4 linked regions of the Notamacropus eugenii genome follow. The protein of the gene in region 4 interacts with the protein of the main gene of each other region in a biochemical or structural test. Links are inferred from orthologs where the notes say so. Each region holds a gene or a part of one and is shown on either strand. Other genes may lie near its edges. The genes, in order: MUC1, SREBF1, NFE2L2 and GSK3B.

Region 1 (8,211 bases), on a different chromosome or scaffold from region 4:
CACCACCTACTCTACCCTCTGGGCACGCAGGCAGTTGCCTATATATATAGGTGACAACTCTACTGAACTATGAAAGTGCTGTTGCAGGCACCATGGGCACCTGCTGTCCCTGGCACCCCCCTGAGGGAATGAAGGGGAAGGGGGGTGGTCACTGGCTCCCAGAACTCCCATCTTCCATACTTCCTGTACCATCCACCCCCAGGCCTCCCAGGCTCCTTTTCTTAGCACTACACTTCTGGCTCTCTATTTACATCCAACAATGTCTGTGCTCCTGTGTTCACAGTGCCCTCTCCTCTGTGTCTCTTTGAAACCCTTCAGATCCTCTCAGTACACTATGATGTCTGGGCTCTGTCATGACTACTCCCACACTGAATATTTTCCCGTGTCCCTTTAATCCTTTCTTAGATCCCAGCCACACTTGCCTTCCCACTGCCCACTAGGCATAGCCTCACCTCTTCATAGGGACTGTGCTTGGTGTTGCTTGGGGGCACATATCGTCCATGAGTATGATAAGGGGGGTACTCATTCATGGGATGGTAAGAATGTTGGGATGGGAAGATGTCCAGTTGTCCACAATGTTCCCGGCGGAAATAAGATATCACCTGGAAGAGGTGGAGATGAAGGCAGAAGGGCACAGTGGCTGATGGTTAGGGAACCAAGACAGGGGGAGGACCCAAACATCTGGGCTGGACAAAGCACTTACCAGGGCACTAAGGTGCAAAATTGCCAAAGCAAGCAGGATACAGACTATCACAAGCAAAGCAATGGCATAGCCTGGCACAGCAGAATCAGTAGATGAGGCTTTAGAATTCCACTCACGGACTAGAAAAGAGAGTTGGATTGTAAAAGAATCTCCCAAGATGCCTTGTCCCAATCTTCTTTAAGACCCCTGCTCTTCTCCCACAAAAAGGGAGTGTGTGCCTGTGTACTTAGGTCCAAGGAGACCCATGAGTGTGGGGCAATAGAACCTGGAAATATGAATTCCTGGCTCTGGGGCAGACTATCTGGGGGAATGTTCCAAGTTCCCAGAGAGTACCTGGGTAGTGAGGTGGGGGAGGGGGGCACTAGTGGGGGGGGGGGGATAGAAACCTTACCAGTTATATCTGATGGTGAAATAGTCAGGTTGTACATATTCTTATTCACATTTTCAGCAAACAGAGTCTGTACTTCATTGGCTGTGATGCTGCCCTCTTGGAAGACCACGATACAGTCTGTAATCACAGAGCCCATTCTGGGCACAGGAAAATTGGCACCTAAGTCCTGTACATTCCAGTTCCTGTTTCAGACCACTTTTCCCTCCTCCTGGAACCGGTACTCCTTCTCATATCTAAGCTGGTGACCTACCCACCCCCAATACCACCCATATCTGCAGATTGGTACCTGAACTGGAGCAGGTAAAAGGTCAGAAATGCCTTGTTTTCGTAGACCTGCCGCAACTGGGAAAAGAGAGGAAGGAAGAAGTATAGCCAGAACGCCAGAGGAATAAATGGCCATCTGGGGGTTAGGGGAAGTCTTCCCAACCTATAGGGAGAGGATGGTACCTACCAGATCATTAACAGAATCCTTCAAGCTTTGATAGTAGAAAGAGCTGGGATTCTCCAGGGAAGAGTTAAAAGGCTTTTGGAGGATGTGGAATGAGAGGAAAAACATACTCTCATAAATGATAACTGGGAGGTGAGAGGTGCTTTGGCTGACAGTAATGGGTTGTGATATGGAGCTGTGGTTATTGTTAGGGGTTGGAGTGGCTTTTTGGTGAAGGGTTGAAGAAATATTCTTGGGGTTATCAGTAGTTGCTGCAGTGATGGGAGTGCTTTTTGTAGCTATAGTGCTATGGTGACTAGTGGGTGTAGTGGAGGTGTGATGGTCAGAGGGTGTGAATGTGCTATGGTTAGTGGGGGGTGTAGAGGAGGTGTGATGGTCAGTGGGTGTGAATGTGCTGTGGTTAGTGGGGGGTGTAGTGGAGGTGGGATGGTCAGTGGGTGCGGATGTGCTGTGGTTACTGGGGGGGGCAGTGGAGGTGGGATGGTCAGTGGGTGCGGATGTGCTGTGGTTAGTGGGGGGTGTAGTGGAGGTGGGATGGTCAGTGGGTGCGGATGTGCTGTGGTTACTGGGGGGGGCAGTGGAGGTGGGATGGTCAGTGGGTGCGGATGTGCTGTGGTTACTGGGGGGGGCAGTGGAGGTGGGATGGTCAGTGGGTGCGGATGTGCTGTGGTTAGTGGGGGGTGTAGTGGAGGTGGGATGGTCAGTGGGTGCGGATGTGCTGTGGTTACTGGGGGGGGCAGTGGAGGTGGGATGGTCAGTGGGTGCGGATGTGCTGTGGTTACTGGGGGGGGTAGTGGAGGTGGGATGGTCAGTGGGTGCGGATGTGCTGTGGTTACTGGGGGGTGTAGTGGAGGTGGGATGGTCAGTGGGTGCGGATGTGCTGTGGTTACTGGGGGGTGTAGTGGAGGTGGGATGGTCAGTGGGTGCGGATGTGCTGTGGTTACTGGGGGGTGTAGGGGAGGTGGGATGCTCACTAGGTGCGTATGTGGTAGATATGCTGTTGTCTGTGTGAGCTGTGGTCCCAGTACTGTGGTGGCCATTGATTTCAGGTTCATCAACAGCAGTTACGGGTCCATGTGAGCTAGATGAAGCTGTGGCACTGAGGGTAATGGTTGTCCTGTGTTTCTCGGTAGTTCCGTTGCTGCGGTTTGTGTCCAGAGTTGTTGCTGTAGCTGCCTCATGGTCAGGGCTGGTAGTTGTGCCAAAGGTACTGTTGCCAATAGCTATAAGAAGTCAGAGACACTGAGTTAGGCTGGAGCCCAGTCTGATCAGGGAGAAGCAACAGACCTAGAGAGATTTAGGCAGAAAGTAGAAAGAAAGAAATTTTAGGAAGTAGGTGGTTGGAGAAAACCCAAAGACACTAGGCACTCCACCTTCCTTGAATTCATCGTTGGCTCCATGTTCTGCTTCTAGTTTTCCTCCATTGTTGCCCTGCTCCCTGCCCCACCACACACACACACACACACACACACACACACACACACACACACACACACACACACACACACACACACACACACACTTCCATAGTTGCCTCACCTTTCCTCTGCTTTCACCCCCTGGAAACCTTCTAGGTAATCAAGCAGGATCCCTCACTGCCCAAAGCTTTGTCCTTTCAATAGGGTCTCCTCTCAGTCCCAGTCTCTGTAACTCCTTCTTCCTCTTCTTCTTCCTCCACTTTGGCCCCAGCTTTGAACCCTTCAGCTCACCCTCACATCAGGATTCCCTCCCCCTTCAGCAAACTCCGCCGGAAGTAAAAACTAGCCCAGAGGCTATTTTAAAAATGGTATAAATCAAGCCACCCCATTCCCCATCTCTTTTTCCCCTGCCCTCACCTGTAGGTACCAGGAACAATACAAGGACCAGGGTGGGTTGGATGCCCGGGGTCATGGTGGTAACCAGCGGAGGGGAGCGTTCAGCAGGCAGGGCCAGGTTCTGCCCGAAAGGCTGTGTCGGGCTCAGGAGCCCGCTGCTTTATACCAGTCCTCCGCCCGAGGCTCCGACAGCCAGAGCAGGTGACAGGTGACACAACCCCACCCCCCTCCATCCCTCCTCCCTTCTACTTCTCCTCCTTCTCCTCCACACACATTCCTGACCCCTCGGGTACAGCGGGCTCCAGATCACTCAACCCTTTGACAACCTGTTTGTTCTCCACCTGGCGTCACCCCCATCTCCCCTCCCTCCCTTCACACGGAAGGGAGCCAGGTCACCTGGAACTTCAGACCTTCTTTCTGGACCCCGGGGCGGTGCCCGGGGTGGGAAAATGGACTGAGTTGAGAGGTGTTAGATCAGTACCCCTGGCTCCCCCGAGGGTCTAGGGCTGCGGACGCCGCATCATCTTCTAGCCCCCGGAGTCCCTGACTTCCTGGGACACATCTTCCTGTAGGACCCCTCTCACGACCCCAGCCCCAGCACAAAGGAAACTTGAATATCAGAACAGCTACCCCATTTCCTGAAACAACCCCACCCAATGCCAGCCCCTCCCGGTCCGTTCTGCCCCGTAGATCTGGCCCGAAACCCGACAGTCCCCGCCCCAGGGGTTTTCTGTATGCCTGGTTGCCTTCCGCGTTTTCTCACGGGTGCGTGGTGGGGGGGAGGGGGATAAAGGAGTGGGAGGAAGGAGGAAGTAAGAAGAAGAAAAGAGGGTAAGATCTTTGGGGTCCTTCCACCCCAATTCTCCAACTCCGCACGCATCCTGTCAGGTAACAGAACCATTCTGCCCCCTGGTGGTCATCAGGAGCCTTCAAGAATTAGAGAGGGAGGTGAACGGTTCGGGGGAGAAACACCTGAGGAGGGAAGTGGGGCAGAGCAGCCCCTGGCAGGGGAGAAGTAACAAGGAACACAAAACGACTCTGAATTTGGGGGCTGGAGAGCCCCGAATGTCGGTCCGTACTTAGTCCCCAACTATATGAGCCTGAATAAGTCGCTTCATCTTTGAGAGCCGATTTCCTACTTTATAAAATAGGGCATAACAATCCTCGTGTTACCTAATTTGTGGGTTTGTTTTGAAAAGCAGTAAGATAATGTGCATGTAAGGGGGTTTAGCAGGGAAACCCTATAAACTGTGATACTAGGGTCAACTATTGCTAGAATTATTTTAGCATTCGGCTTCTTCCCTTGTAAAGGAAGAAGGAAAAGACACCGAATTTAGAGCAGGGAAAGATCTCAGAAGCTATCTAGTGGGAAGGCAAGGGGAGGAAATGAGCATTTCTATAGTACCTACAATATGCCAGGCATTGTGCAAGCATTTTTTAAATTAATTTATTTGTTTTCTACAATCACTTCCATAAGTCTTAGATTTTCTCCCCCTTCCTACCTCCTCCCTCCCCAAGACAGCATGCATTCTTATATGGGTTCTACACATACATTCTTATTAAATACATTTTCACATTAGTCATGTTGCATGGAAGAATTGAAATGAATGGGAGAAACCATGAGAAAAACCCAAACAAAACAAAACACAACACAAGAGGAAATATTCTGCTTCATTTTGTGTTTCAATTCCATAGTTATTTCTCTGGATATGGATGGCATTTTGCCTCAAGAGTTCATTGGGAATGTTTTAGGTCCTTGCATTGCTGTGAAGGGCTAAGTCTACCAGAAAAATTCCTGGCTCACTGTGATTGTTACCATGTACCATATTCTCCTGGTTCTGCTCCTTTCACTCAGCATCAGCTCATATGATTCCTTCCAGGCCTCCCTGAAGTCTTCCTGTTCATCATTTCTTATAGCACAATAGTATTCTATTGCATTCATGTACCACAACTTGTTCAGCCATTCCCCAGTTGATGGGCATCCCCTTGATTTCCACTTCTTGGCCACCACAAAGAGAGCTGCTATACATATTTTTGTACATGTGGGACCCTTTCCCATTTTTGTGATCTCTTTGGGATACAGTCCTAGTAGCAATATTGCTGAGTCAAAGGGTATGTACATTTCTGTAGCCCTTTGGACATAGTTCCAAATTGCTCTCCAGATTGGCTGGATCAGTTCACGGCTCCACCAACAATGAATTAGTGTTCTCACTCTGTCACATCTTCTCCAACATTTATCATCTTTCTGTTTTTTCATGTTAACCAATCTGATAGGTGTGATGTGGTACCTCAGAGTTGTTTTGATTTGCATCTCTCTAATCAATAGTGATTTAGAGCATTTTTTCATATGACTATAGATAGCCTTAATTTCTTCCTCTGAAAACTGCCTGTTCATATCCTTTGACCATTTATCAATTGGGGACAAGCATTTAAAAAAATTTTTTCTCATTTAATACAACCCTACTAGATAAGTGCTATTATTATCTAGTCAAACCCTTCATTTTAGAGGAACTGAGACTCAGAAAAATGAATTGTTCACACAGATGGTAAGGAGCAGAAGCAGGACCAGAATGATGCTTCTACCCTTGTCTTATTCTCCTTACAAGCATGTTATGATGAGACTTAATCAAACATCAAGCAATTATTAAGGACCAACTCCGTGTCAGGCATCTCTGTGCTAGATGCTGGGGATACAGTGACAAAAGCTGATTGCCCCTGACCTCAGAGAGCTTCCATTCTTATCCAGAAATTGACATATCACAGAATCACAGAATTTTAGAACTGGAAAAGTTCTTGGCAGCTGTAAGTCCAACCAAAGTTCTAAAGGAATCTTCTCTATAACATATACAAATAGTAGCTGTCCAAGCCTCCACATACAGACGTCCTGGGAGAAGGGGGTGGGGAAGAAGCTATCTATCATTCCCCTTTGGGGCAGTGCTAACTGATAGGAAGATTCTCCTGAACTCTCTCCTGAATTGTCTCCTCTACACATTCCCTTCATTGGAATGACTCCTAATTCTTCTCTTGGTGTCAACAATTAACAAGTCTAATCTTTCTGGAACAAGACAGTCCTTTAAATATTTACATATATCCCAATAAGTAAATGGCCAAAGTATGTAAACAGGCAGTTTTCAAGGAAAGAAATGAAAGCTATCGACCATCATATGGAAAAATTATTGAAATCATAAGAAAAATGCAAATTAAAACAACTCAGATTTCACTTCACACCCATCAGATCAAAAAAGATGGTAAATGAGGAAAATGACTGTTTACAGGAATGCAAGCAGACATACTAATTGATGGAGCTGTCAAAAGGTCCAACCATTCTGGAAAACAACTTGGAACTATACCCCCCAAGTCACTAAACTGTATACTCTTTGACCCACAATACCACTATTGGGAAAATATCCCAAAGACATCAAAGAAAGGAAATGAATCATATATGCAAAAATATTTATAGCAATATTTTTTGTTACAGCCAAGAACTGGAAAGAAACTGTCCATCAATTGGGGAGTGGCTAAGCAAATTGTGGTATATGAATGTAATAGAATATTACTATGCTATAAGAAATGACAGAATGGATTCAGGGAAACCCAGAGAAAGACTTTTATGAACTAATAAAGCAATACAGAACCGTGGATGAATTGTTGGACATGTTGTTAGCAAGATCTGAATTCAAATCCCATCTCAGACACTTCCAGCTATATGACTGTAAGCATGTTACTTAACCTATTTGTGCCTTGGTTTCCTCATATGTTAAAATGAGGGCATTGAACTGGAGGACCTATATTTAAGGCCTCTTCCAGGTCTAAATCTATGATCCTATGAAGTGAGCAGAAGCAACAGAACTATGTATACACTGGCCACAACATTGTAAAGGAAAATAACTTTGAAAGACTTGAAATACTGCTGGGTGGTGCACTGGATTGAATGCAAGGCCTGGAGTCAGGAAGGGTGGAGTTCAAATTCCACCTCAAACACACAGTAGCTATGTGATCCTAGTAAGTAAATGGCCATCCCTTAACCTCTGTCTCAGTTTTCTGAACTATTAAATAGGGATAATAACAGCACCTACCTCCCAGTGTTTTTGTGAGGATTAAATGAAATATTTGTAAAGTGCCTAGCACTATAGGAACATTACAGCTGTCATGAGGGATAGGCTAATGAGGACCCAGTCCTGGGAGCATGCACAGGGTACCCACAGGAAAAAGAGGAAAGAAAAGAACTTCAAGGAATTTTTTTTTAAAAATGCACTGAGGGACCAGAGGACAACTCAAAGGAGGACATAGAGAAACAGGGTAATGTTGGCACTCCAACCTTACGTTTAATATACAAGGTATTCCAAAAGTCTTAGTGCACTTTTGAGCTGGGGGGGACACCCTGTATATTAGAAGGAACAAACTATATACAATAAATTACTTTTCATTTACAATCTCTGATTTCTGTTCTCCTTTGTGCATGGAAATATGTATGCTGATCATTTTTTAGTTCATAATAAAATTTAAATAGAAAAAAAAGAAAACTGGATTGAGGAAGGATTTTAAATCAGTTGCACATTGACCTCACCCCCACCCCCACCCAAGTCTTCTCTTGTTAGGACCACTGGTTTGTGGAGTACTGTTCTTCAGTCAAGAAAATCTGAGTTCAAATCTAACTTCAGATACTTACTGTGTTACCCTAGGTGAGTGACTTAACCTCTGCCTCAAATTCTTCCACATTAAAATTGGGATCATAATAGCACCTACCTCTCAGGGTTTTTGTAAGGATCAAATGAAAAACTGTGTTTAGCATAGTGCCTGACACATAGTAGGTACATATATATGTGGCAAAATACAGTGGTATTATCCCTTTTTT
Region 2 (7,441 bases), on a different chromosome or scaffold from region 4:
TGTCTTTAAGAACAAGCACAGGTTCTGCTCATTTCACTTTGTATCAATTCATGTAAATCTTCCCAGATTTTCTGAAAGCATCTTGCTCTTCATTTTTTTTTTCTTTTTTGCAAGGCAATCAGGGTTAAGTGACTTGTTCAGGGTCACACTGCTAGTAAGTATCCAGTGTCTGAGGTCAAATTTGAACTCAGGTCTTCCCGACTCCAGGGAAAGTGCTCTAACCACTGTACTACCTAGCTGCCCTTCATCATTTCTTATAGCACAATAGTATTCCATCACAAAGACAGCTACCTGGCAAAATGGATACAACCATGGACCTGGAATCAGGAAGACCTGAATTCAAATCTGACCTTATACACTTAATAGCTGGGTGACTGGGGGCAAGTTCATTTAATGTTGTTTGCCCCAGTTTCCTCAGCTGTAAAATAAGTTGGAAAAGGAAATGGCAAACCACTCTGGTATCTTTGTTAAGAAAACCCCATATAAGGTCATGGAGAGTTGGACAAAGATGAAAAGACTGAATAACCACAAATTCTATCACAATCATATACCACAACTTGTTCAGTCATTCCCCAACTGTGAATGACAGCTATTCTCAGGAATACAATGGTCCCAAACAATTCTGAAGGCCTTATGATGTAAAATACTACCTGCCTCCAGGTAAGGATGGTGTATGAATGCAGATAGAAACATACTTTTTTTGGCTTTCTTTGTTATTCTTGTTTTTTTGATCTGTGTATCTTTGTTTTGCAAGACTACACATTTATAATCTATATCAAATCACAATTTGAAACTCAAAATTAAAAAAAATGTTGAAAATTTTTACTTAGATATAATTGAGAAAAAAATAAATTTAAATTAAATTTAAAATTCAAATAATTTTTTAAAAAGATAAGCACAGGGACTGAAATGTGAATGTCAGTAGACCTAGCTTCTATACTGACTTCCTGAAACTTTCCATGCTTTGGTTCCCTTGTCAAATAAATGGAAATAATATTCAATATCTCTCGCAGAAGGTTGCAGTGAGGACAAGGGACATGTTGGATGAAGGTGCTTTGAAACAATAAATGTTACGTATTACTGTATAGGAATCTGTGAACCAGATGGGAGCTCGGGCTGCCATTGATATATACCTCCTTTCTTTGGCCCAACAGGGATGAAAAATGCAATGTGTACTTATAACTGCTTGTCAGATGAAAACCAGATTATGTATAATGCCTTTCAACTCCTTCAGATCTACCCTTTCCCCAGACTGGGAGTGACGTGAGAAGAGCCCACCCATTTCAAGCTTTTCAATTAAATCACTCAAGATTTTTTTCCTACAGGGTTGAAGCCATCCAGACAAATGCTTCAGGACTTTTGGCCCACTAACTATTGATTATTAGCCCCGCTCTGGGTCCTGAAAGAAGGGAGGCTAGAACTTGTTTACATTTACCACAATCCAAATATCAACTAAGTATTTACTAGGTGACTGTATTCAGTACATCCTAGACTGATAGAAATGAAATGGTGACAAAAATGAAATAAAAGATAAAATCTGTCCCTCAAGAAACTTGCCAATTAGTTAAGAAGACATGCCCAGTAAAATGATACCTTATTAATACTTGAAAAGATCTATGATTTCTTTTGCATGAAACACAGACTCCACTAAGCCAGAGGCAGATGTTGGAATCCCTCTACACCTTTCATTAGATTTTGTGAGGAAAGAAACCTTCACTTGGTGGCCAGTCTTCTGTTGTGGACCCTCTCCAGATTTAACTAGGCTGGTCTTCCGGAGGCAGGCACGCAGTCTTTGGATCCCCCATCAACAAGGCCTACTTTGATAGTAGCTTGTCTGTTCCTCTGTGGTACCTAGAACCCAGAATCACTGACACACCAGGATGAGGCATTAAAATGAGACTTTACTGTAAGAATAAAACAATAAAAAGGTGAAGATGAACACAAGTGCAAAGTTTTATCCAAATCTGATAAAAAATCAAATGTTAACCTGTATCATAGAAGGAACCAATGCCAATCATTAAACATTTATGCCATGTGCCAGGAATTGTGCTAATCTATGGGAATACAAAAAAGCAGTAAAAGATAATCTCTGACCTCAAAGAACTTGCAGAATAATGTGGGAGGCAATATACAAACAAATATCTACAAAACCAGCTTTATCCAGGATAAGCAGGAAATAATTAACAGAAAGAAGGCACTAGAATTAAAAGGCAGTGGAGAGGGCTTCCAGTAAAACATAGGATTTTAGTTGGGACGTAAAGAAAGTCAAGGAGGTTAGTAGGTGGAATGGAGGAGGGAGAGGGTTCTAGGGCCTGGGCATCAACTATAGACGCAGCTGAGATAAAGATTTCACCCACTCCTTATTTTTTTTCTTTTTCTGAGACTATGTCTCCCTATCTGTCACCTAGGCTTCTGACCTGCAGGGAACCCTGGCCCAACCTTCTGCTGGACCCTCTTTAGGCAGCCTGATGCCACCCACCCTTCCTCTGGATTTAACCATATATGTTAGACACATTTTCTAATAGGCCTTAGACTCTACAGCAGCTCAGAACTCCCAAACCCAACTGATCCTTCAGTCGCAGCCTTCCCAGTGGTAGAGGATAGAGGCATGAACCTCCAAACCTGATCAACTTAGTTTTACAGATTAAGCACCTGAGGCCTGGAGTGAAGTGACTTGCCTAAAGTCAGACTGGTAGCAATTCTATTTCAAGCCCAGGCTCTGGGACTCCAATTCCTCTAAGACCAGAACCTAGTCATCCACCCCACCTCTTCTCCTGGCCTCCCCATCTGTGGTCACTTCCCTCCCTGGGTCTCACTTTACTCATGGAGAGGTTGGATTAGAGCAGGTTTTTTTTTTTGGTTTTTTGGCATTCTTAAAATTACTGAGGACCCCAAAGAACTTTTGTTTATGTGATTTATATCTTTTGATAGTTGCTGTACCAGAAATTAAAACTGAGAAAATCTAAATGTTTATTAATTAAAATAACAGGCCTATTACATGTTAACACAAATCACATTTGTTTTATGAAAAATAACTATATTTTTGAAAACAAAAATATTCCGTGAGAAGACTGGCATTATTTTACATATTTTTGCATATCTCTTTAAATTCTGGTTTAAATAGAAGACAGCTGGATTCTGATCTCCGCCTTGGCATGAATGAAGCATGTTGGTTTGTTCTTCACATATGAAGAAAATCTGGCCTCACACAGATAAGTAGCTGGAAAAGGCAAGTACATTGTAATAGACAAATAACTATGATTATGAAAATGGCTTTGAACTGGGGACTCCCAGGTAACTGTCTTCAGACCACACTTTGATAACCACTGGATCAGACCCCAAGTTAAAAGTAGGAACTGGCAGTGAAGGTGGGGCAGGAATATGGACAGAGTCTTGATCTGCCAGTCTGGATGGCATCAGCTCGGTTCCTTTCAACCAGGCTCCAGGTGACCTGCTCCACCTGGATTGGTATGGGGAAAGCTGGCTGATCTGGTCCCTGATTCAAAAGAGAATTTTTACGTCTGAGGACAGGCTAAGCGTCCAGGGAAGCTGCAAATACAGGGCGGTCACAGTCAGCCTGGCATCTCCATAAATTCGGGGACCGAGGGGTCTGTGCGCCAGGGCTTCCCTGAGGGGGAGGGTGCCAACCAGGCGAGCTGTCCCCCCGCGTCGGGGGCCCCCTCAAATCCTCCAGCAGACTTCGGCCTCGAACCCTGCGGAGTGGCTCCGCACTTGGCAGAGCTAGGTGCGCCCTATACCTGGTCGCTGCCCAGAGAGCCCCTCACCCCACGCTCCCCCCAGGTCCAGCCTCCCGGCTCCACGTGGTCCCCAGCAGCGGACTGGCGCTGCCCAGGCCTTAGGTAGCCCCGTTCCTCGGCTCCTTCCTCCGCTTCGGAGCGTCCCTAGAGGCTCCGAGTTCGGGATGGGGCTGTCACTCAAAAACTGAAGGGCGGGGGGGGGGGGGGGGGGGGGGGGGGCAGGATGGGGTGGGGTGGAAACACCCGGCGCCGATGCCCCGCCCCGCGCCCTCTCCCTCCCCTCCCCCTCCACGGGGCAGTTAAGCTACCAACTTTTAGCGGGTATGGCGCCGGGGGCGGGCGGGTGGCGACCCTGGCACTAACTTTGTTTCAGGAACTGGGCGAGGCCACCAGCCGCCGGCGGGCCTGGGCAGAGTTCGGGGCGTGCACGGTTAGTCCTCCGGAAAGCGCGCGGTCCATGGAGCAGAGCTAAGGGGAGGCTCAGGCAAAGGCGCGGTGCGTGGAGAGGAACGCCACCAGCCCGGAGGAGGCGTCTGGGGCCGGCGGGCGGGACGCGGCGGCGGCGGAGCTCCGGGCTCCCTCCGGCCGCCACCATGAACGACCTGTCCTTCGACGAGGCGGCCTTGGATCCCTCCCTGGCCCTGGGCGAGGCCAGCGACATCGACTCGGCTCTGCTCAGTGACATCGAAGGTGGGTCCCGGGGAGGGGCGCGTGGGAGCCCGGCCGGGAGGGTGGGGGGGGCGGTGATCGGGGCAGCCCTCCGGGATCCTCAGCCTGGCTGGGCTGGCCCCGGGCGTCGAGGGGGAGTGTGTATGCGTGCTTCCGCGCGTGTCTGCGGCTCGGGATTCCGCGTGTGGCTGTGGCGTGTGTCTGAATGTGTTCGTGCCTGTCCGCGGGCACCGAGTCCCAGGATGCGCGCACAGTTGGGGACTCGCCGTCTGGAGGCACCCGGGGAGACCCAGACCCTCCCCCCTCCCCGCCGCGGACCCCTTCCCCAGCAGCTGTCCGGCCCGGGGGGACTCGGTCCTCCCCCTAGAAGCGGCCACGCCTCTTCGGGCCGCGGAGGAGCGAGGGGCTCCCAAATGGTGCGGCCCCCAAGCCCCGCCCCCCCGAGGGCCCAGGAGCTCGTGACGTCAGCGTCAGCCAGAGAGGTTACCCCCGGTCATTCCCTCGGCCCGCCAGAGTTCACTGAGCTCTGCTGGAGCCTGCAGTGGGAGGGGAGGTGGGGGGGAAGGGGGAAGCGGGGGGAGAGGAGGGGGAGAAGGGAGCAGGAGACGGCCCTGCCCTCCGGCGCCCAACAACTCTGCCCTTAGGAAACCACCCAGAAAATATCCCAGAATCTAGCCTGGGGTTTTCTTAGCAAAAGCTAACCCGGGTGCTCTGACCCATCCACGTGGAGCTTCTGATAAGCCTGTGACTGGGAGAAGGAATTGGCCTTGAATTATCCGTTCATGCAGCCCTTTTAAGCTTTGTAAAGCACATTACTTAAACCTTCTTGTTTAAGTGTGTACAACCTGTAGTCGGTTGGTACTACAGGTATTGTGCTAATGGAGAAACTGAGGCCAGTGAGTCACGGTAGTGAGTGTAACAAGTGCGATTCTCAAACTCAGTTCTCCTAACTCCAAGTGCAGGGCTCTTTCTTACTCTGTATCAAAATGCTTGTTTTACAAGGTAGACCGCCTTCTGTGGGCAGTAGGAAATCCATCTTTCTATCAGTCCCTTTTATAGAGAAATCTTGCTCTGAAGGGGGGATATTTACCCCTAGAATCTTTCCTGACAGAAAACTGTACTTTTTCCTTCTCAGGGCCAGAATTATTTTTCATAAATTGAGGGATTGAGGCACTGATTAGTGAAGTAGGAATGGGGTAGATTAGAGTATATTAGTGAGAGATCGCTTTCTTTTCCAGAAGATTCATTCATTCAACAATAAACTTTTTATGTAAGGTCTACTGTTAGATAATAGTGTGTACAGAGCATTCTGCTGATGGGAGTGGGGGCTGCAGGGAAGGGACAGAGAGAGACAGAAAGTTTAGATGAACATTGATAGCTAGCTGCTAGGTCTGGAGTCAGGAGGACCTGAGTTCAAATGTGAACTCAGACAGTTATTAGCTGTGCGATGCTGGGTAACCCTATTTGCCTCAGTTTCTGCAATCTGTAAAGTGGAGCTGGAGAAGGAAATGGCAAACTACTCCAGGATCTTTGCCAAGAAAAGCAATGGGATCATGAATGGTAGGACACACCTGAACTGCAAGGATAGCTAGCAGTTATATGGGCTTTAAGATTTGCAAACCTGTTTACAAATATCACCTCATTTTATCCCCACTATAATCCAGGGAGATAGGTACTATTATCATCATTTTACAAATGAGGAGACTGAGGCAAAAAGGTTTAGTGGCTTGCCCAAGGTTACCTAGATGATAAGTAAGAGACCTTTCTTGACATTGCATGGATCCCAGTGGAACAAAAAGGCTTCCCATTGATTATTCAAATAATAATATCCAATCTTACAATCTAAATAACTTTTCCTGTTCCAGTGTATACTCTGCATAGCTGCCAAATGGATATTCCCAAAACCTAGGTCTGACCATGTCACTGCTGTACTCCTGTAGAGCACCTTATCACCTCCAAGATTAAATAAAAACGTCATGTAAAGGTCTTTTCAATTTGGTACCTTCCTGCCTTTCCAGCATTCTTCACATTACTCCCCTCCACAAACTGTATTTTCCAGCTTCCTCACACATGACACTGTATCCACCACCCGGTGCCTGGAAAGCCCTCCCTCCTCCCCTTCAGTTCTTAGCATTACTGTCTTCCATTAGGTCTTGGCTCAGATCATGTCATCTCAGCCTCTAGAGCTGTTCCCTCTAATCCCTCATGGACTCTATGTAGCATGTCTTTCCACATTTATGTATGTATCATTACCCTCGTTCAAATGTAACCTCCTTAAGGACAAAGACTGTTTTTGCCTTCTCTTTGTATCTCTGGATAATATTTGTAAAGCACTTAACCACAGTGCCTGGCACATTGTAACAGGTAAATACAATCTTGTGTATTGCTGGACTGATTGATGAGGGTGAAAGAAAAGTGTAGATGAAGTACTATTAGACCTCAAAGTACAGTCAAGGTGTCACTTTCATTTGGGCATGAAGAGTTGAGTTGAACTTTAAAGAAAGAGAGGAATTAAGTGGACAGTTTGGGGTTGGAAAAAAACTCCCACCCATGCATGGAGACTACCTTGAACAAAGGAGATTGAGGTCAAGGAGGAAGGAAATCAGCATTTATTAAGTGCCCATTAACTAATTAATTAATGTGCCTAGCATTGTGCTAAGTACTTTACAAATAGCATCTGCATATAACGTAATGTATATAATATATGTTTGCATATGATATAAATAATGCTCATTTAATGCTCACTACCATCCTGGGGAGTTAGATGAGGAAGCTGGAGGCAGGTAGAGTGACTTGCCCAGGGTCACACAGCTAGTGTCTGAGGCTGGATTTGAATTTAGGAAGATGAATCTAACTGATTCCCAGCCCTGTGCTCTATCCATTGCATCCCCTAGGTGCCCTAAGAATATGATAGCACTGGTGATAGTTTGGAGAGGGGATCAACTGAAAACAGGAGTAATTGAGAGGCTGTTGCAATAATCTAGGTAAGAAGAGGTGACCACTTGGCCTGCGGT
Region 3 (7,684 bases), about 110 Mb from region 4:
TCATCTGCAGCACAATGTACAAGAGAATAAATGTAAAGTTTTTATGATGGGTGTGGGGAATTCAAGTTATATACTTAACGATCTCTTCCTAGATATCTTCTTCTATGTAAAGAGGGTGACAGCATATTTTCTGGTACAATAGGGTAAGTGGAATAGGGAAAGGAATAAGCATTTTTATTGTGCTTTTTTATACACACGTATGTACCAGACTGTAAGTGCTGAACACTTTTTACAAATATTATCTCACTTGATCTTAATAAATTACACATTTAAAATAAAGAGTCTCCACAAGGTCAAGAACCTTATTCCTTTGGTGATACCTAGCAAGTATATTACAAAAACTTCAATATCTTTATTCAATTTTTTTTTTTGCTATCAGCTCTGAAGCCTCATTTTATTTTTCTACTGACTTCAAACTGATGTTTCAGTGATAAAATTTTGCCATTTTGTTGTAAGTCCATTCTCCATGTTTCCTTTTGTTTCCTCAAGCACGAAATTTTAGGGCACATTTGAACGCTATCCTCCAAAACATTTTCCATTTCCAAAAATGAATCAATAGTATTTTGTATATGTTCAAGGAAGCATCTACACAGCCTCAGTTCTGGTCATAACTGAATCCAACAAAACAGCTATCTTTATAATAGTAAGCTATTAGGGCACAAAACCAAAATCATTCTTCGGGAGCAGTCCAAGACTATACAACTGCATAGGGACCTATAATGTCCTGAATGTATATCCAAAGAGAAGGTGAAAAGGGAACTCTTTAGTCGTGCCAAGATTAGATAACTGCTTTCAAAGAGGAAAGCATTCAATACCTTGAGAGGGTCAAGTTCAAATTAAAAATGTCCTTGAAACAATAATCTTTCTTAAAACTTCAAACAAAAGCCGAGAAATCCTAAGTAATCTTTTCACTTGTCTGTCACACTTTTAAAATATGCTATGATTTGAAATGATAAAGGACCTTACTTCCAAATTCTTCCAACTCGGACTACAGAACTTGCTAGCAAAAGGATCACCGTGCAACACAAGTATCCCGTCATCTATCCTTACAAAAAAGGCAGAACGAAAAGAAAGAAAAATTCTCTAACAGGAAGGGGACCGGGAGAAGGGCGGCGGGAAAAGAGACTCAAGGTAAAGCCAACTAGGCAGTAGTTTGGAGTCGAAGTTTTAATGTGTAAGCACAGACCTCATTTTACACAAAAATACAAACCCTGATCTGCCCTGGCAGCCCTACTCAGAACAACATTTAGCGTATTCTGCTTTACATATTTTAGAATTACAATCTGAGAAACTTCATCCAAAGACAAAGCAGCCCAGGGGAAAATAACAATTGCGCAACAGCTCCCCAGCTCCGACTCGCCCTGGCCTTGAGCTCCTCGAGCTCGGCCGGGCTGGCACGCTAGGCAGCACAAGGGGCCCCTCTAGGGCGGCCGCGACTGGCGGCAGCTGACCCCCGCCGAGGCCGCAGGGACGCGTTCGGAGGCCGCGGAGAAGCGCGCACTCGGGACTACCGCAGCGGGGAGGGGGTGCTGTATGTTGTACGGAACGTTTCCAAAACTCCCGAGTTCTGTAGGAGAGGAAAAGGGGGGGAGGCAAGACAAACTGAACTCCCAATTCCCCATTCTCTCCCGGACGACAAGCGGCCTTCATCAGATGCAGGGTCCAGGCCTGGCTATCTTCCGCCACGGTCCGCCCGGGGACCACCGTCAGGGGTAGATACACTATGAGCTTTTGGACGGCTTCATTCAGTCCGTCGGGGCCATCTAGGTCACTGCAGAAGCACAAAGCTAACTGGAGTCCTTTAAAGACTGGTTTTTCTCAGTACCCTAGAAATCCCTAGTGGAGGGTAAGCGTGATGAGGAACAAGCCTAGCCTTTCCCTTCCCCGGCTCGGAGATGCAGTAACTGGAGAGGTGGGGGCGGGGGAGGGCTAGAGATGATCGATCTCTATGGAAGCCCAGACTTCCAAGCCAGACGTGCGCCCCGCGCTCCTCGCTCACTCGAGGGTCCGGGGGCCAGTCCATACCTCATCCTCCCCCTGGCGACTAAGCACGCAGGCTTCAAGGCCAGAGAGAGCAGCTCAGGAATGGAAGTGCGAAGAGACGAAAGAAGCTAGAGCAGGCCCCGAGGGCGCTTAGGAAGCTTCTCCTCCCCTGACAACCAGACCCCGGGGAGGGGGGCAAGGACGGGGCGGCGCAGGGGCGGGGGCGGTGCAGGGGCGGGGCGGCGCAGGCTTCGCCCCACCCCCTCCCACAGTGCCCAAGGAAGAGACCAGAGACACCTCCTCAACTCACCCATCGCCGCGCAGCCGCAGTGCGGCGACCTGGGGAGGAGGGGCTCCCGGAAGACAGCGGGGGCGGGAACAGCTGTTGCACCCCCCACCCACGTCCCCCTCCCCTCCGGAGTTGGGAATCCCCACCCCCTCCGCACCTCCTCTTCCTCCTCCCTCAGGAAAGGAGACCCAGCGCACCGGGGCCGCCGACGCGCTCGTGACAGGCAGAGCCGGGGGGAAGCTGCCCCCCTCCCCTGCCCTGCATCCACGGCTTCCTGGGGACTTCCCCTCTGGATCCCCCTAGGGCGCCATCCTCAACTCCTCCCCCACCTCTATTCTCTCCCGAGGAGGGGGTCGGGTGTTATTTTTCCTTTAATCCTAGACTCCTCCGCGACCCCGGCCTTCCCCGCCGTCCCCTCTCGCCGGTGGACTGTACAGAGAAGACAGAGGGAAGGAGGTCGGCCCACGTCGCCCACGTCGCCCCCGTCCCTGTTACCGTAGGCGTGTCCCCCCCTTGCTCCCGGAGGCGTGACGTCCGCTCCCCCCCAGCCCCGCTCTCGTGTGCGTGACGTCTCCCCCCCTTCGCCAGTCCCGGAGGTGCCGGCAGTAGCACCTGTTGCGACGGGGGCAGCTCCAAGTCCATCATGTTGAGCTTCCGACCCCTGCGCTGGGGCTCCCCGGCCGGACTTCTTTCTCTCAGCTCCCGAGACAAGGTGCGGAGAAGGAAGGCGCAGCGGCAGGGACGGGGTGGCGCGGAAGCGGCTCCTTGAGTCTCCCTGGCACTTCACTGTATTCCACCCGAGGGCCGGGACTCCCCGGCACAGCCCCGGCAACGCCCCGCCTCCGACCACCCTGGGGGCGGAGAAATGCGTGGCCACGCCCACCGAGGCCGGCCGCTTCCTCCCGGCTCCTCCTCTTAAAATCCCCCACCCTTGCGGCTGCTGACTTCCTGCGGGTTTGGAATGGGGTGGGGGCTGGCGTGGGAGCACTGGGGGGGAGGGGAGGAAGGGAAGGAGGTATTGAGAATCTTTGTGTTTAACTCTCTCCATCCCCGTCGGGGGCGGAGGGCGGGGAGAGACCCCTCCCCAAAACACAGGCCTTACCGTAATAACCGTAGATTTTTGAGTTGGAAGGCAGCCTGGAGTTCATCTCGTCCAGACTCATCATTTTGGTCATGAGGAAACTGAGGCCCAGGGAAATTTAAGTGATTTGCTCAAGGTCACCCAGGGTAGTAAGAGGAAGGATTGGAACTTCCAAAACCAGGAGTTGGACCCGGGTGTCCCAACTCCAAGAGACGGTGGACTCCCCCTGTGCGTATGTTTTGTGCTTGTGCGCCTTTTAAGACAAAACCGTTTCTCCGGGCGTATAATTTAGAGCAGTGTAGTGTACGTGTGTCCTTTAAAACAAACCAAAGAAACCATTTTTCCCCTTACCTCCCAACGAGATTGCCACTCGGAAACATAGTGGATGCTGTCTCACCGACCTGGCAAAGAGTACGCGGTGGCCTAAGGGAGGCTGGCTCCGAGGTCCAGGTTGAAGGGCACAGCTCAGTTTTATCTCTACCTACCGCACCTACTTGAGGGTCAGGTGCCAGCCAAGGAGCACCAGGACAAAAGCTGCCTGCTAGTCAGCACCACCTTTCCCTCACTTTCCCACCCTCTGCTCCCAGGGAACTCTTGTTAATTCAGTGAAAGTGTAATCAGTAGGAAGTTCTGGAACCACTCTGGGACTTTGGAGTTAGGTCCCCTCTCCTGTGTTTGCCAAGGCCCAAATGCCCTCCTGTTTACTTTCGCTCTTTAGAAACATTGCCAGGGACAGCGCTCCAAGGTCGATTAGAAAAGTCCTCTTGAGATGGAAGCTGACTGTTCAGCTTGGGCTTTGCAAAAACTGAAACCATCTCCTTCTCTTTCCCCCCATGTCTCATCTTGCAGCACTGAGCTGTTGCATAATCCTTAAAAATAAAATTAACTTCGAAAGTGGCAAAAGCCTCAGAGGAGAAAAGGGAATGTGAAGCCCTGGAATATGTTATTCAAAAGTATTGGAGATTTTTAAAAGAGAATTTGTGCGTGCATCACTGTCAACAGGTGAGTCCCAGAGGCTTTAAGAACTAGATCTTTCCCATATGAGAAAGCTGAGACCCAGAGAATTTAAGTGACCTAGCATTGTCTCTGGATCTAAGAACCTTTCTATCTCTTTGATAGGTTCAGCTTTTGGTTTCTAGCTTTTATTTTAAAGATTGTTAGAAATTAGGTAACATACAGATGAAGAATCCCTAGCTTTATTTATGTATGACAAACGTTTAAGGTGTAAAAGATGGACGAGATATAGTAGTTCCCAACCTGTGGGATGCTATTATTTTAAAGGGTCTATCTCATTAAATGATTCCTCTATAATAAGCATAGTTTTTGTAGACTGAATAATGTCTCATTTAGATTCTTATTTTTCAGAAGTATTCAGATGAATAAAACACAAGTTCACTTAAAAGCATTACTGAACTCATAATAACTTTTTGTTATGTAATTTTTCAATCATTGGTTACTAAATAGTACAACAATAACCCATAGGTCCAGGAAACTTTTTTTTTTTAATATTGAAAAGGAGTTTATACACACTAAAAAGTGCTAGTAGCCAACGAACTAGATATAAGATTTTATGACCCTAAGAGTTTCTGTTCTAGGTACTGTGGTAGATAAAAATAAAATCCTATCATCTAGCAAGGGAGAGAAAAAAGTCTTCATGCAAGTATAAAACAGCCAGAGAAAGAGGTCAGGCTACAATGTTTTTCTGTAGGAAAAGACTAGAGTCAACGGTCTTTTAGATTTCACTAGCCAATTCAGCCATTTCTACTTTACATAAAACAGAAGAGCTGATTGGGTAAAATGATCTGATCCTCATCAAAGTGTTTCCCCCTGGGGAGATTTACCTTGGTCTTACAACCTTAGTACTGAAATGGGTTTCTGACCATGTTAGGTAACAATTGAATTTAGATTTCCAGGAAAGCCAGAAGAGAGTAGGTAAAGTGCAGAGAATAAAGGAATTGCTTAAAAGAGTTTGAAGGCAAGCTTCTGTCTGACCCCTTGTCCCTTCTGTGGCAGTCTGAGTAAAAAGAAGAAAGTATCCTAACTAATTGAGGATCCTAGCTGAAAACAAAAACAAACAAAAAAACTTCATAGCTATTGGCAAACAAGGTTAACTAAGAAGAATGAGCCCTTCTTGCTAAGGAGAATATTGCTAATCCCAACACCTTCAGTAAATGAAGAACCAAATTGAGTAGGTGGCTCTGAAGATAGCACTTAATCTGAAGATTATAGCTAGAAATGATAATAAATAAAATAGTACTTATATAGCACCTACTACTGCCAGGCATTGTACTAATCACTTTACAAAAATGGTCTCATTGATCTTCATGACAAAACCCTATTTTACAGTTGAGGAAACTGAGATTAAGTGACTTGCTCAAGTTCATATAACTAATGAGCACCAGAGATTGAATTTGAACTCAGGACTTTTTGACTCCAGGCTCAGCTGCCTCTAACTTATGCACAGGAGGAAGCTGAAAGAGTAGGAGGCTGATAGATCAGATTGAAGGAGCTAGGGAATATCTTTTTCAGGAGAGAGTATAATTCTAACTAATCATAGTACCCTTCCATGGCAGAGGTGACTAAAAGAGTTGGTGAAAGAACTGTAACAGTATCCGTAGAAGATGTTGTACAGAATAGATAGTACACAGCTAGATGGTACACAGTAGACAGAGTGCTAGACTTGGGGGTGGGACAACTTGAGTTCAAATCCAGCCTGAGATGCCTCTACCTCAGTTTCCTCATCTGTAAAATGGTGATAATAATAGAACCTAACTTCTAGGTTATTGTGAGGATCAAATAAAATAACATATTAAGTACCTTGTAAACCATAAAGCAACATGTATGTATGTATGTGTACACATACATATACACACACATATATATGTATATATATTATTATTATTATTAGGTGAATCTGAAAATAATCAGTTGACATTACCTAGATCAGAAAAACATGCCTTTTGAGGAAGTAAAGTAATATCAGTAGGAGATAGCAGCTCTTCATTGTGAGGTTCATGAGTTAACCCTTCATAATCAAATATAAAATGCTTTATCATTCCAAGCCTGTCATAACCTGCCCCTCCCACCTTTCTAATTTTTTTACACTTTATGATTCAATGACACTGGCCTCTTTGCTATTTCTTAAACATGATTCTCCATCTCCCAACTCAGAGCATTTTCCCCCATGTCTGGATTGCCTTCCTTCCTCATCTCTCCTCCTGGCTTCTCTGACTTCCTTTAAATCCCAGCTACCAAATGATCTTCCTAAAGGACAGGTCTGACCATGTTTCCCCCCATCTCCCCCCTTAATAAATTCCCTATTACCTCCAGGATCAGATATAAAAATCTCACTGTCATTTAACTAAATTTATTTATACTGTCATTAAAATACCTTTGTTATTAATTGTTAACGATGGCTGACTGATAAAAAGTAAAACATCACTGGGGGCTTACAAGTTACTACTTGGAAAGAATTTTTCGTAGGTGTGCTGGTAAATGTTTAACAAGCGACTCTGAAAAAATACACACAGAACACACTTTATGTTTAATCTATATTATTAATATTTTCTCCATCACTTTACGTCTCGAAAATCAATAAAACACAAGCTCTGATTTGCAGTGTTTGCCAATTTCCAGGGTGTAAATGTTCACACTGAAAATTTAACAGTTGGCTTTCGATGCTGATACCAGCTGGCTCTTGGTCAGCACTGATTTTGGTCCAATATGCAAGTGACTGTAATGCAAAGTAGAAAGTGATCATAAGAAAGGAATGACAGAGCTGATATTATGACGATGCAGAAGAGGGGAAGATGACTTCTCCTGGCAGGAAAGGGGAAGGCTTCATGGAAAGGATGTTATCTGACCCAGACCTTGGAAAACTGGAAAGATTTCAACAGAGTAGATCAAGGTGAGGCTATCTCAAACATTACAAAAAAAATAAAATTGGGCCAAACTCCCCCCCCCCCCCCCCCCCAGAAACAAGAAAGCATGGGGCATAGGATTTATAGATAGACCTTAGAAATGATAAACCCTTAATCTTTATAGATGAAGAAACCAAGGCTAGATATTAAATGACTTTTCTGGGGTCATGAAAGGCAAGGTTTAGAATCTAGGTTTTCTGATTCTTCCCCTACAGTGTAAGATATTTAAGGAGTTTTGAGTAATGCAGTTTGATAGCAGTATAGTGTCTGGGTAGGAGAGGAAGGATTGAAAATGGGAGGGGAGGGGTAGGTGATGAAATGACCTCTCTAAAGACCCTTCCAGTTCTGAACCTCTCATTCTAGGAAAGTTGAATTGGGGCCGGGTTTTGGAGAGCTTTGAATCTCAAACTA
Region 4 (8,363 bases):
CCCCACTTGGGGTTTTCTTGGCAAAGATACTGGACTGGTATAGGTATATTAATCAAAGTCACCTTCTATGGAGACATTGTAAGGATAATTATAGAGGTGCAAGTTTCCAGCCTTTGGATGGAATTATTTTAAGAGCTAGCTCTTTTTAGTGTTTACATACATATTTACCTTTGAAAGGCCCTGAACTGAACAACGAATAGGAGAAAGAGAACAGAGTTGTATTTGAGAAACTGAATTCCAAGTTGTTCCAATACAAAAAAAAAACCAAAACAAACCCTATCTTTTCAACGCCAATATTTCTCTAGCAATACTATTTGGCTGGAATTTTTTTTCTGAAGAATCAAAATTGTGGGTGATCCAGAGAGCAAATGATATATGCATGTGAGGTATAATCTAATACCTCCAGTGGGCTGTATACAAAAAAACATATTTTATACATAAAATATAAAACTCCCCCAAAAGTAGAATTGGATGAGGTGGGCAAGAGAGAGGTATGACAGAAAGCTCATGTGCTGTACTGATATCCAAAGGTTGTCACATGTCCTGTCACCTCTAGCACAATGAAAAGATTCTCACTGTGGGGTTTGCAAGTGGTCATGGATAAGAACTGCAGACCAGAAAGCACAGATGGGTTGCGATCTCCAAGGCTGGAAGCAGTACCCTTATTGTATTAAAGTATATTACTCAGTGCTAATCTTTGAGTGCCATGTCCCCAGAGAACACACCTGCTTATCAATTGCTATTTCCCTATAATACTTTGAGAGAACTATCCCTCTCCTCTCTCAAACTCTGGACAACTCTGACATACCCTTCATGCAATGTGCATTTAGGGGTGGTGGAGGACATTGATCTCTGACAATGAGGAGAGAGTCCCATACCAATGAACTTTGGGACTTGGATTATATACGCACATGAGAATTAAGTAAGGCACAGCGTATTTAAGATTTTTATAGTGTTCTCAATCCTCTCTTTGGCTTTTCTACATTTTTAATAGCATCACTTCCTAATCTCCACTTTTAGTGGGGAACAGAAAGGCCTTCCTAGAAACTCAGCCTAACATCTCCCGCTATTCCGTGTCTCTATTTGAGACCAACCACTGAATAACTTTGGAATCTCAGGTTCAACTATTTAGCACTTCCAATTCTGCTCATTAACTGCATAGCTGATCCTGCGCTTCTTCAATCCTCAATCGACAGGTTTGGCTGTTTAACATGGAACACAGTTTTATTTGTGTAAATTCTTCTATCAGAAATTCTGAAGACAGATTAAGCCCTTGTAACTATTACATACAACTTTGCCTACACTCTTTTTTTGAGGGAGTACATCAGGAGAAGAGAAATTTGGGTTACCAGACTCCTCGGAAATATGTTACAAATTCAAGTTCAGGTAACATTCAAACATCTATTATGGAGATAATCTGTATTTAATTTCTAACAAAATGTGTTAAATTTACACAGAAAAGTAGAACACGAGGTTTCAGGAAGAAAACTGAATTTGCAATCTGAGAACCTCTGTTCGGATCCCAGGCTCTTAGCCTGCTGTATACTGGACTTTTCTTACACGTTAAGGGGTAGGGGGCAGAATGGAGAGGGCGCTTGACGTTCTTTCCCCTAAAGGCCCCTTTGAGCTTTGAAGCCTATCATTTGTGGAAGTTACACTTTTGGGTTTCAGGAGGTGTGTCCTTCACATGCCTAGAGTTTCTCCGTCCTCACAAATCCTCAGTCCCGAAGAGCCTCTCAGAGATACGTGAGCCAAGCATCCAGCTCAGGTAAAAGCCCCCTTCTACCCATTACCGTCACTCCTTCTCCCCAACCCATCCCAGACTCCCCACTGACTTTTCCATCTACTTACACCCATTAAACCACACGCTCTCTAAGTGCACGTTTCCATACGCACTTACGAGGGCAGGGGCACTTCAGTTCTTGTATGAACTGCTTTTTATATCAGGATGATACAACCTGAGTTATAATACTAGGAATCTGAGCAGCTGCCTGTAACACAGACAATGGTCTCTCCGCCGGGGTTTCAGGTGCCCTCTAGGGGGAACCCAATTGTTGAATTTACAGATACGCAGACATGTATAAAACTGCACAGTTCCATCCACACCGATACATACACAGCAGCGTACCAGTCAGCTTAACACACAAACAAGCAGACGGTCGGAGCAGGCCAAAAGATGCTTGGAGTGGGAGAGAAAGTGCCCATTACGGCGCGAGGGGTTTGGTCCTCTTACAATCACAACATACCACACGCAAGAAACAAACCATCAAAAATAACCTGCCCTCACACACTACCCTTTGATCTGAAGCTCCCAAGCCAACTACAGCTATAATTATCCCGGCTGCACCCAGGGCCCAAGGATATCCGGCACGACTCCGGCCCCTTCACGTGTTTGGGAGCCACTCACGGAACTGCAGCTATTTGTGATCACCCTGGGAGCGCACCGAGCTGCGGTGATCTCATTTCTCCCGGGTGTTTTCCGGGGCAGAGACCCTGAGCCCGAGCACAGCGCCCACAAGAACCTAAGACTAAAGGGGCAGAGGAGGGCCGAAGCGTCCAGGACAGCTCCCCGCGCCGCGCAGGGCAAGGAGTTACGCTCCTCGGGCCGTAAGGGTGCTGCGAGGCCGAGCGCCGCCCCCAGCTGTGCGGCAGGAGAGGGCGGGGTCACCCGTGCCCAGGCACGAAGAACTTCTGGGCCTTCGGAGTTACAAGTACGGAACATGAATTTCTCACTCCCCCTCCCCCGCACGCACACGCACACGCACGCACGCGCCTGCGCAGGCAGGGATCCAGGATTTAGGCCCAGAGGCAACTGGGCCCCCAGGCTGTTGAGACCTATGCGCCACTGGTCCCAACCATTACGTCGCGAATGCGTGAGTCTGCTCCACCCCTCAATATCTGCGGCTTTCAAACAGCCAAGGCAGAATTCACCCAACCCCGATCGTCCACCCAGGGGAGGTTCCGCCACGACCACAATCTAGCTCATTCCCCTCTGCCCAAGCCAGGGGACCAATCAGACTCAGCCAAAGTCTTGCGATAGGCCCAAGGCAGGTTCGGATTGGCCAACCTCAAGGAGTTCAGCCTCCCTCCCCTTCCCCTCTCCCCTCTCCAGCGCACAGCGGCCGTTGTCCAATAAGAAAGAGCATTATAGGTCTTTGCCCTCCCTCCTTCCCACCCCGCCTCGGTGAGACATGGGACGATTCGGGCTTGCTGGGATGTCCTCGGAAGCCCCCTTCCCTCAGCCAATCACTGAGTGATGTGGTTCAACCTCCCAGCGGAGTTTTTCAACCAATGACAAAGCGGCCGAGGCGCAGGGTCGCACACCTTCCTGGGGCTTTTAACCACGCTGGGCCTCTCCGCACTTTTCAGCGAGAGCAGGCGACTGGGAAGCCTTTGATTGGCCCTTTCTGCCTTTGACGAATTTCAGCCATTGCCTGTGACCTAACCAGGAAGCTTGGCTTTCCAACTCCTTCCTCCTCCTTCTCCTCCTCTTCCTCCGTCGGCAGTCTTCGGCTCCTTCCGTTGCCTCGGGGCGTGGGGGGTTGGGAAGGGAGGGTTGTTCAGCGGCCGCTTCCGATTGGCTCCTGCCGCCCCTCGGCTATTTCCGGAGGGAGCAGCGAACAGACGACGCTCTCTGATTGGCTGAGGTTGGCGTTCGGCCGAAGCGGGAGGGCGGTGTGCGAGGCTCAGACTTCGGCCGGCGATTCCCAGACGCCTGTTACGCGGGCGGTGGGGGCTCTGGGTAGTGTTGGACTGGGCTGGGCTAGGGAGGAGGAAGGCGGAGGAGGCGGAGGAGGCGGAGGTGAGAGGGGGGAGGAGGAGGAGCAGGCGAGGGGAGGGGGAGCTAGGCGGCTGCGCAGTAGGTGCTTCTCATACAGAGCAGCCCCCGACCCTGGTGAATGCGGGCAGGAGCCGCTGCTGCCCGGACCGAGTGACAAAGGAAGGAAGGAAGGAAGGAAGCAAGGAGGAGCCGGGGGCCCCCCTAAGCCGCTGTCAGGGCGCCGGGCTGGGGCCAAAGCGCGGACATTTCCCGAGTGGGCAGCGAGCGGACCTAGGGGGCGGGAGGGCAGCGACGGTGCCTTGGCCGGGGGAGGGGGCCCTCAAGGGACGGAAGCGGTTGCCGGGTTCCCATGTCCCCGGCGTATGGGGAGCAGCACAGGAGCCGCTGCTTGGGGTCTGAAGGGAGCTGCCGCCGCCGCCATGGCCGCTGGATCCAGCCACCGCCTGCAGCTGCCCCTGGCGCAATGAGGAGAGGAGCTGCCGCCGCCGCCCCCCGCCGCCTCTGACCGACTCCCCAGATCCGCCGCCTTCGAGCTCTCCGGGCCGGGCCGTGCCGTGCCGCGCTCGGCCGCGCCGACCGAGCGCTCCCTCCGCCCGTCGGCCGGATCCCGCCGCCGGATCCGCAGCATTTCCAGTCGCATCACCGAGCCACCCTCCCTGCCTCCCTCCTTCCTTCCCCCTTCCCATCCCCCTTTCTCTTCAAGCAAGAGACTCGTGATCCCTCCGCCGCTTCCCTTCTTCATTGACTCAAAAAAAAAAGATCCCCGAGGAGGAAAAAAAATAATATTCAAAGTACTGAAATTCCAATCAAGTAATTTCTCCCCTCCTCTTCCCTCCCCCCTCCATTTTAACAGATATTTTTCAGGTTTTTCTCCCTTCCCCCTCCGAAGGTGAGGGGGGAGAAGAATTGTGTTTTTTTCCCCAGCCCCAAATCATCTAGATACAAAAATCCATATCTCATCTGTCTTGGAGGAGGATACAAATCGATCGTTTGGTTTTATATAGCTACGTAAAAGAAGTGAAAGCCAAGAAGAAGAAAACATTTTTTTTTTTTTTGGTTTGTGTGTGTGAGCTTAATGCTGCATTTGTCATTAACTTACACCCCAAAATAAAACAAAAGGAAGAAAAGGAGGAAGAAGGTGATCGGGAGAAGAGAGATCATGTCAGGGCGGCCCAGAACCACCTCCTTTGCAGAGAGCTGCAAACCAGTGCAGCAGCCTTCAGCTTTTGGCAGCATGAAAGTTAGCAGTGAGTATTGATTTTTTTTTTTTTTTACCCCTTTACCCCTTCCCTTTAAAATAAAGACCTGGAAATGCCAGGATTAAAAAAATATAGATTAGAAACCAAAAAAATTCAACGGCCTGTGTAATGGAAAAAGGTGAAAGTAGTCACTATTCAAAGGTGAAGCACCTCCCTGTCTGCTTCCATACCTTCCCCCCATCGTCTCATTAACCTTGAATTGACAGAATGTGATTTTTATTTGGATGTTTTAGTTTGCAAGTTTGTTTTTCCCCCCTATCTAGCATGACTTCGAATATATTTACGAATGGTCTTCCTAAGCAACTGCTTAAAGAATCTATAGGAAATTAGAGAGCTAAGTAATCAATCATCTTTTTAAGTAAGGAAAAACAGAAAAAGATATATTGCTTAAAACAAGGCAATATAAAAGTTGAAGCGTGGATGTCTTTTTTTGAATGAGAAGAGATGTTTAGGAAGCTCAGACCTAAGTATGGTTATCTTGGTTTTATGCTTTTAATAAAGACAAATATTTAACATTTATTTTTTGGATATGTAAAATAATAGCTGGTACTCGGAAGGGTCAGCTTGTGCCATGATGAGGTTTTAAATTTGGAGGTTATTCATTTCTGCCTTAAAAATAATGGGCTTGTGGCACCACACTATACAGCAGCAGTGCTGCATATGTTGTAAGTTGACTAATTGGTTTTAATATGTCATCCTATATCTTTTGGCTGTGACGTTAGAAATTTAATGAGGAGTTATTGAGATCTGTGTTTTAATTAAAAAGTTTCACGTTTCAGTTTGACTTTTGTGATTTAGAATTTTAATGTCAATTTCAGCATGCTAACAGTTACACTTCAGTTGTTGCCAATTAAAACTATCATTTTTATTCATTTGGAGGGGTACTGTTGTAAATGGCTTTATTAAAGTCCTAAATTAAAGTGTAATTTAAAGGACTATTTAAAATGTCTGTATTGTGATTTCTTTTTGTACCTGAAAAAAGCTTTAGCAATTTTATTTTATACATTTACAAATGTTGATGTCACTCTTGGATTGACAGATGCACCAGTTTACTCTGAATTAACTCATATTTTCAGAAACTGTATTTTTCTCTGAAATTTTTTTTTCAATTCATCTGGAGCTTTGAAAAGATCAGACAACTGAGTAAATAAGTCCTTTCTTTCATAGCTTCTGGAGTAGAGATGAATACGTTAAGAATGTACGCAATTTGTTGTCAAACTGTCTTTTTTAATCTATTTCTTTACACCAAAAATTAATAGTTTATTACTGTTATTGCCATATGTCCAACAATTTCAGTTCATCTTCATTTGTGCTTTTTGAAAATGTGTGAGCTTGGAACAGTGTTTATAATATTTAATGTTTAAAATGTTTTTTATCTTATTGAAATGCACTTCTAGAGTTTGACCAATTGTAATCTCTTTATTCCTGAAGTGAGATGCAGCAAGAGAGAGATGAAGTAAGGTTCCATAGAATTTCTTTTTTGTTCTTGAGTCAAAGACTTCCTGGTTAGAAAGAAAAGAAATCTCAATACAGGTTACTTTTCTGAAAAATTGGTTAAATTACTTATCTTTACCAAATGGTATTCAGCCCTTACACTGATATCAGTGTTCAGGGCTATACTGGACCATCTTGACTTTGAACTTCTATTTGATGTATGCCTGCATCAATGTTGATATTAAATAGTGAAGTTAAAGGTAGTGACTGGCAGTTTTTTTATTTTGGAAAGTATAATCAGGCTTTTGTTTTTTTGGTCTTTAGCCAACTAAAATTCTAGGGATGGGGAGAGAAGCAAACTATGCATTACTCTGTGGAAGGGCAAACCATCATAAGTACATTAAGGGTGAGATGAGATGAATATTTAAAATTCTGCTGTAATCTTCAGCTGTGATGAAGCAAGTCTTAAAATAGTGTAGGAATCTCTCCTGAGTTATTGGAATGTGTCTTTTTCATAATAGAAATCTGGAGTAATAGTTCTTTGAGACCCATTAACATTCATTAGTTACAGCTAAGAAAGCAAAGCAATTTTACCTGTCTTCAAACTTTTTTTGTTGGAAGAATTTATTTGCTTTTAAAGTGGCTATATTTGACGTATCTGATGAGAGCAGCATTGCTGAATGATGTGTTTAAATTTTGACTGGTAAATTAGTATTATTTTAATAAATAATATAGTATATTAAATTGAATCTGTAAACTCATCTTTTATGGGCATAGATTGCCATAATAAGTGGAAATTTAATGTCAAATATAATCATGCCTCTGACTTTGAATTTAGGGATATTTTTGAGGAAATAAGGATAATTTAACATTTAATCAGTATTTGCTATGGAGAGTCCTGCACAAATAGGGCTACTTGAGACCATTTTTCTGGGGAAACAAACATAAAATCATCTATTAAAATGGTGTGGGTGATATAATCAAATTGAATGCTTGGGTGCCAAGGGGACTTAACATTAAAGAATGATCAAAGGAAGAGTTAATCCGGGAAAACTGCTTGAAGAAGGTAAATTTCAAGTCAGAATTTGATGGAGGCAGAGTAGTAGATTGGGGTGAGCCATATGTAGCTGACTGTCAAATTACTTAATATCTAAAATAAGAGTAATAGTACTGATACTACTTCATAGGGTTGTTTCAAGGAAAAAAAGCTTTGTATAAATGAAATTACATAGAAATGTTTGCAGTTATTATTGCTGTATGGAAAGAAAGAATGTATTCTAGTTGGGAGAATTAGAGTGATTAAACCACAAAGGAAGGAGTTAGTATGTGACTTAGTAGGCATCAGAGACATTGGCTAAAAAGAGATGAAGGAGGAAAGCCACAGGGAAGGCAGTTGACAAATTCAAATTTATCTCTATTTTTTTTTGATAAGTAAAAGGTAGCTTCTGTGGATTTTATTGAATTGACATGTAGAATGGGGAACATGATGTTTGAAGAAGCTAAATATGACATTTATCTTTAGAATGGATTGGAGTAGAGTGAGACAGAGTTAGGGGGCTACTTGAAGTCAGCTGAAGTGAGAAGTTGGTTATGGTGGCTATAGAAATGGAAAGCAAAGAACAAAATGAAGAAACTGGCAAGCTGTCAGGATCCTGCATGAGAGTGTGTGTGTGTATGAGAGAGAGATGTTTGACGGTGAAAGTAACTGAGCATGAAAGACTTAGAAGTGATAACATTTATGATAGTGGGAAAGAAGTGCTGTCTGAAAGAAGCTGACAGGTTGAGTTTTTCTCCAGGTTTCAGTAGGTAGCTGTTAACTAGCAGTGACATCTAAATTTCTAAGCCATTTTATGACTTTCACACCTTTTTGGAACTTAGAATAGAACTTG

What was found.
Region 1: the proteins of GSK3B (region 4) and MUC1 form a complex in vitro, tested with the Homo sapiens proteins (2 studies listed by BioGRID). The link is inferred for Notamacropus eugenii from reciprocal best matches to the Homo sapiens genes GSK3B and MUC1.
Region 2: the proteins of GSK3B (region 4) and SREBF1 form a complex in vitro, tested with the Homo sapiens proteins (2 studies listed by BioGRID, with this or other methods). The link is inferred for Notamacropus eugenii from reciprocal best matches to the Homo sapiens genes GSK3B and SREBF1.
Region 3: of the proteins of GSK3B (region 4) and NFE2L2, one has a biochemical effect on the other in vitro, tested with the Homo sapiens proteins (2 studies listed by BioGRID). The link is inferred for Notamacropus eugenii from reciprocal best matches to the Homo sapiens genes GSK3B and NFE2L2.

What each region holds. Positions count from the first base shown.
Region 1 is NC_092873.1:379,283,651-379,291,861, forward strand, and holds the start of MUC1 (mucin-1), read right to left. Parts: upstream 3,547-8,211; 5' UTR 3,433-3,546; coding exon 3,378-3,432; intron 2,766-3,377; coding exon 1,546-2,765; intron 1,437-1,545; coding exon 1,381-1,436; intron 1,232-1,380; coding exon 1,095-1,231; intron 823-1,094; coding exon 704-822; intron 603-703; coding exon 453-602; intron 1-452. UniProt on the Homo sapiens protein: The alpha subunit has cell adhesive properties. Can act both as an adhesion and an anti-adhesion protein. May provide a protective layer on epithelial cells against bacterial and enzyme attack.
Region 2 is NC_092874.1:335,022,677-335,030,117, reverse strand, and holds the start of SREBF1 (sterol regulatory element-binding protein 1), read left to right. Parts: upstream 1-4,026; 5' UTR 4,027-4,351; coding exon 4,352-4,448; intron 4,449-7,441.
Region 3 is NC_092876.1:240,169,553-240,177,236, forward strand, and holds the start of NFE2L2 (nuclear factor erythroid 2-related factor 2), read right to left. Parts: upstream 3,163-7,684; 5' UTR 2,918-3,162; coding exon 2,885-2,917; intron 2,735-2,884; exon of another isoform or gene 2,602-2,734; intron 2,179-2,601; exon of another isoform or gene 2,026-2,178; intron 1-2,025.
Region 4 is NC_092876.1:345,958,172-345,966,534, forward strand, and holds the start of GSK3B (glycogen synthase kinase-3 beta), read left to right. Parts: upstream 1-4,902; 5' UTR 4,903-4,940; coding exon 4,941-5,028; intron 5,029-8,363. UniProt on the Homo sapiens protein: Constitutively active protein kinase that acts as a negative regulator in the hormonal control of glucose homeostasis, Wnt signaling and regulation of transcription factors and microtubules, by phosphorylating and inactivating glycogen synthase (GYS1 or GYS2), EIF2B, CTNNB1/beta-catenin, APC, AXIN1, DPYSL2/CRMP2, JUN, NFATC1/NFATC, MAPT/TAU and MACF1.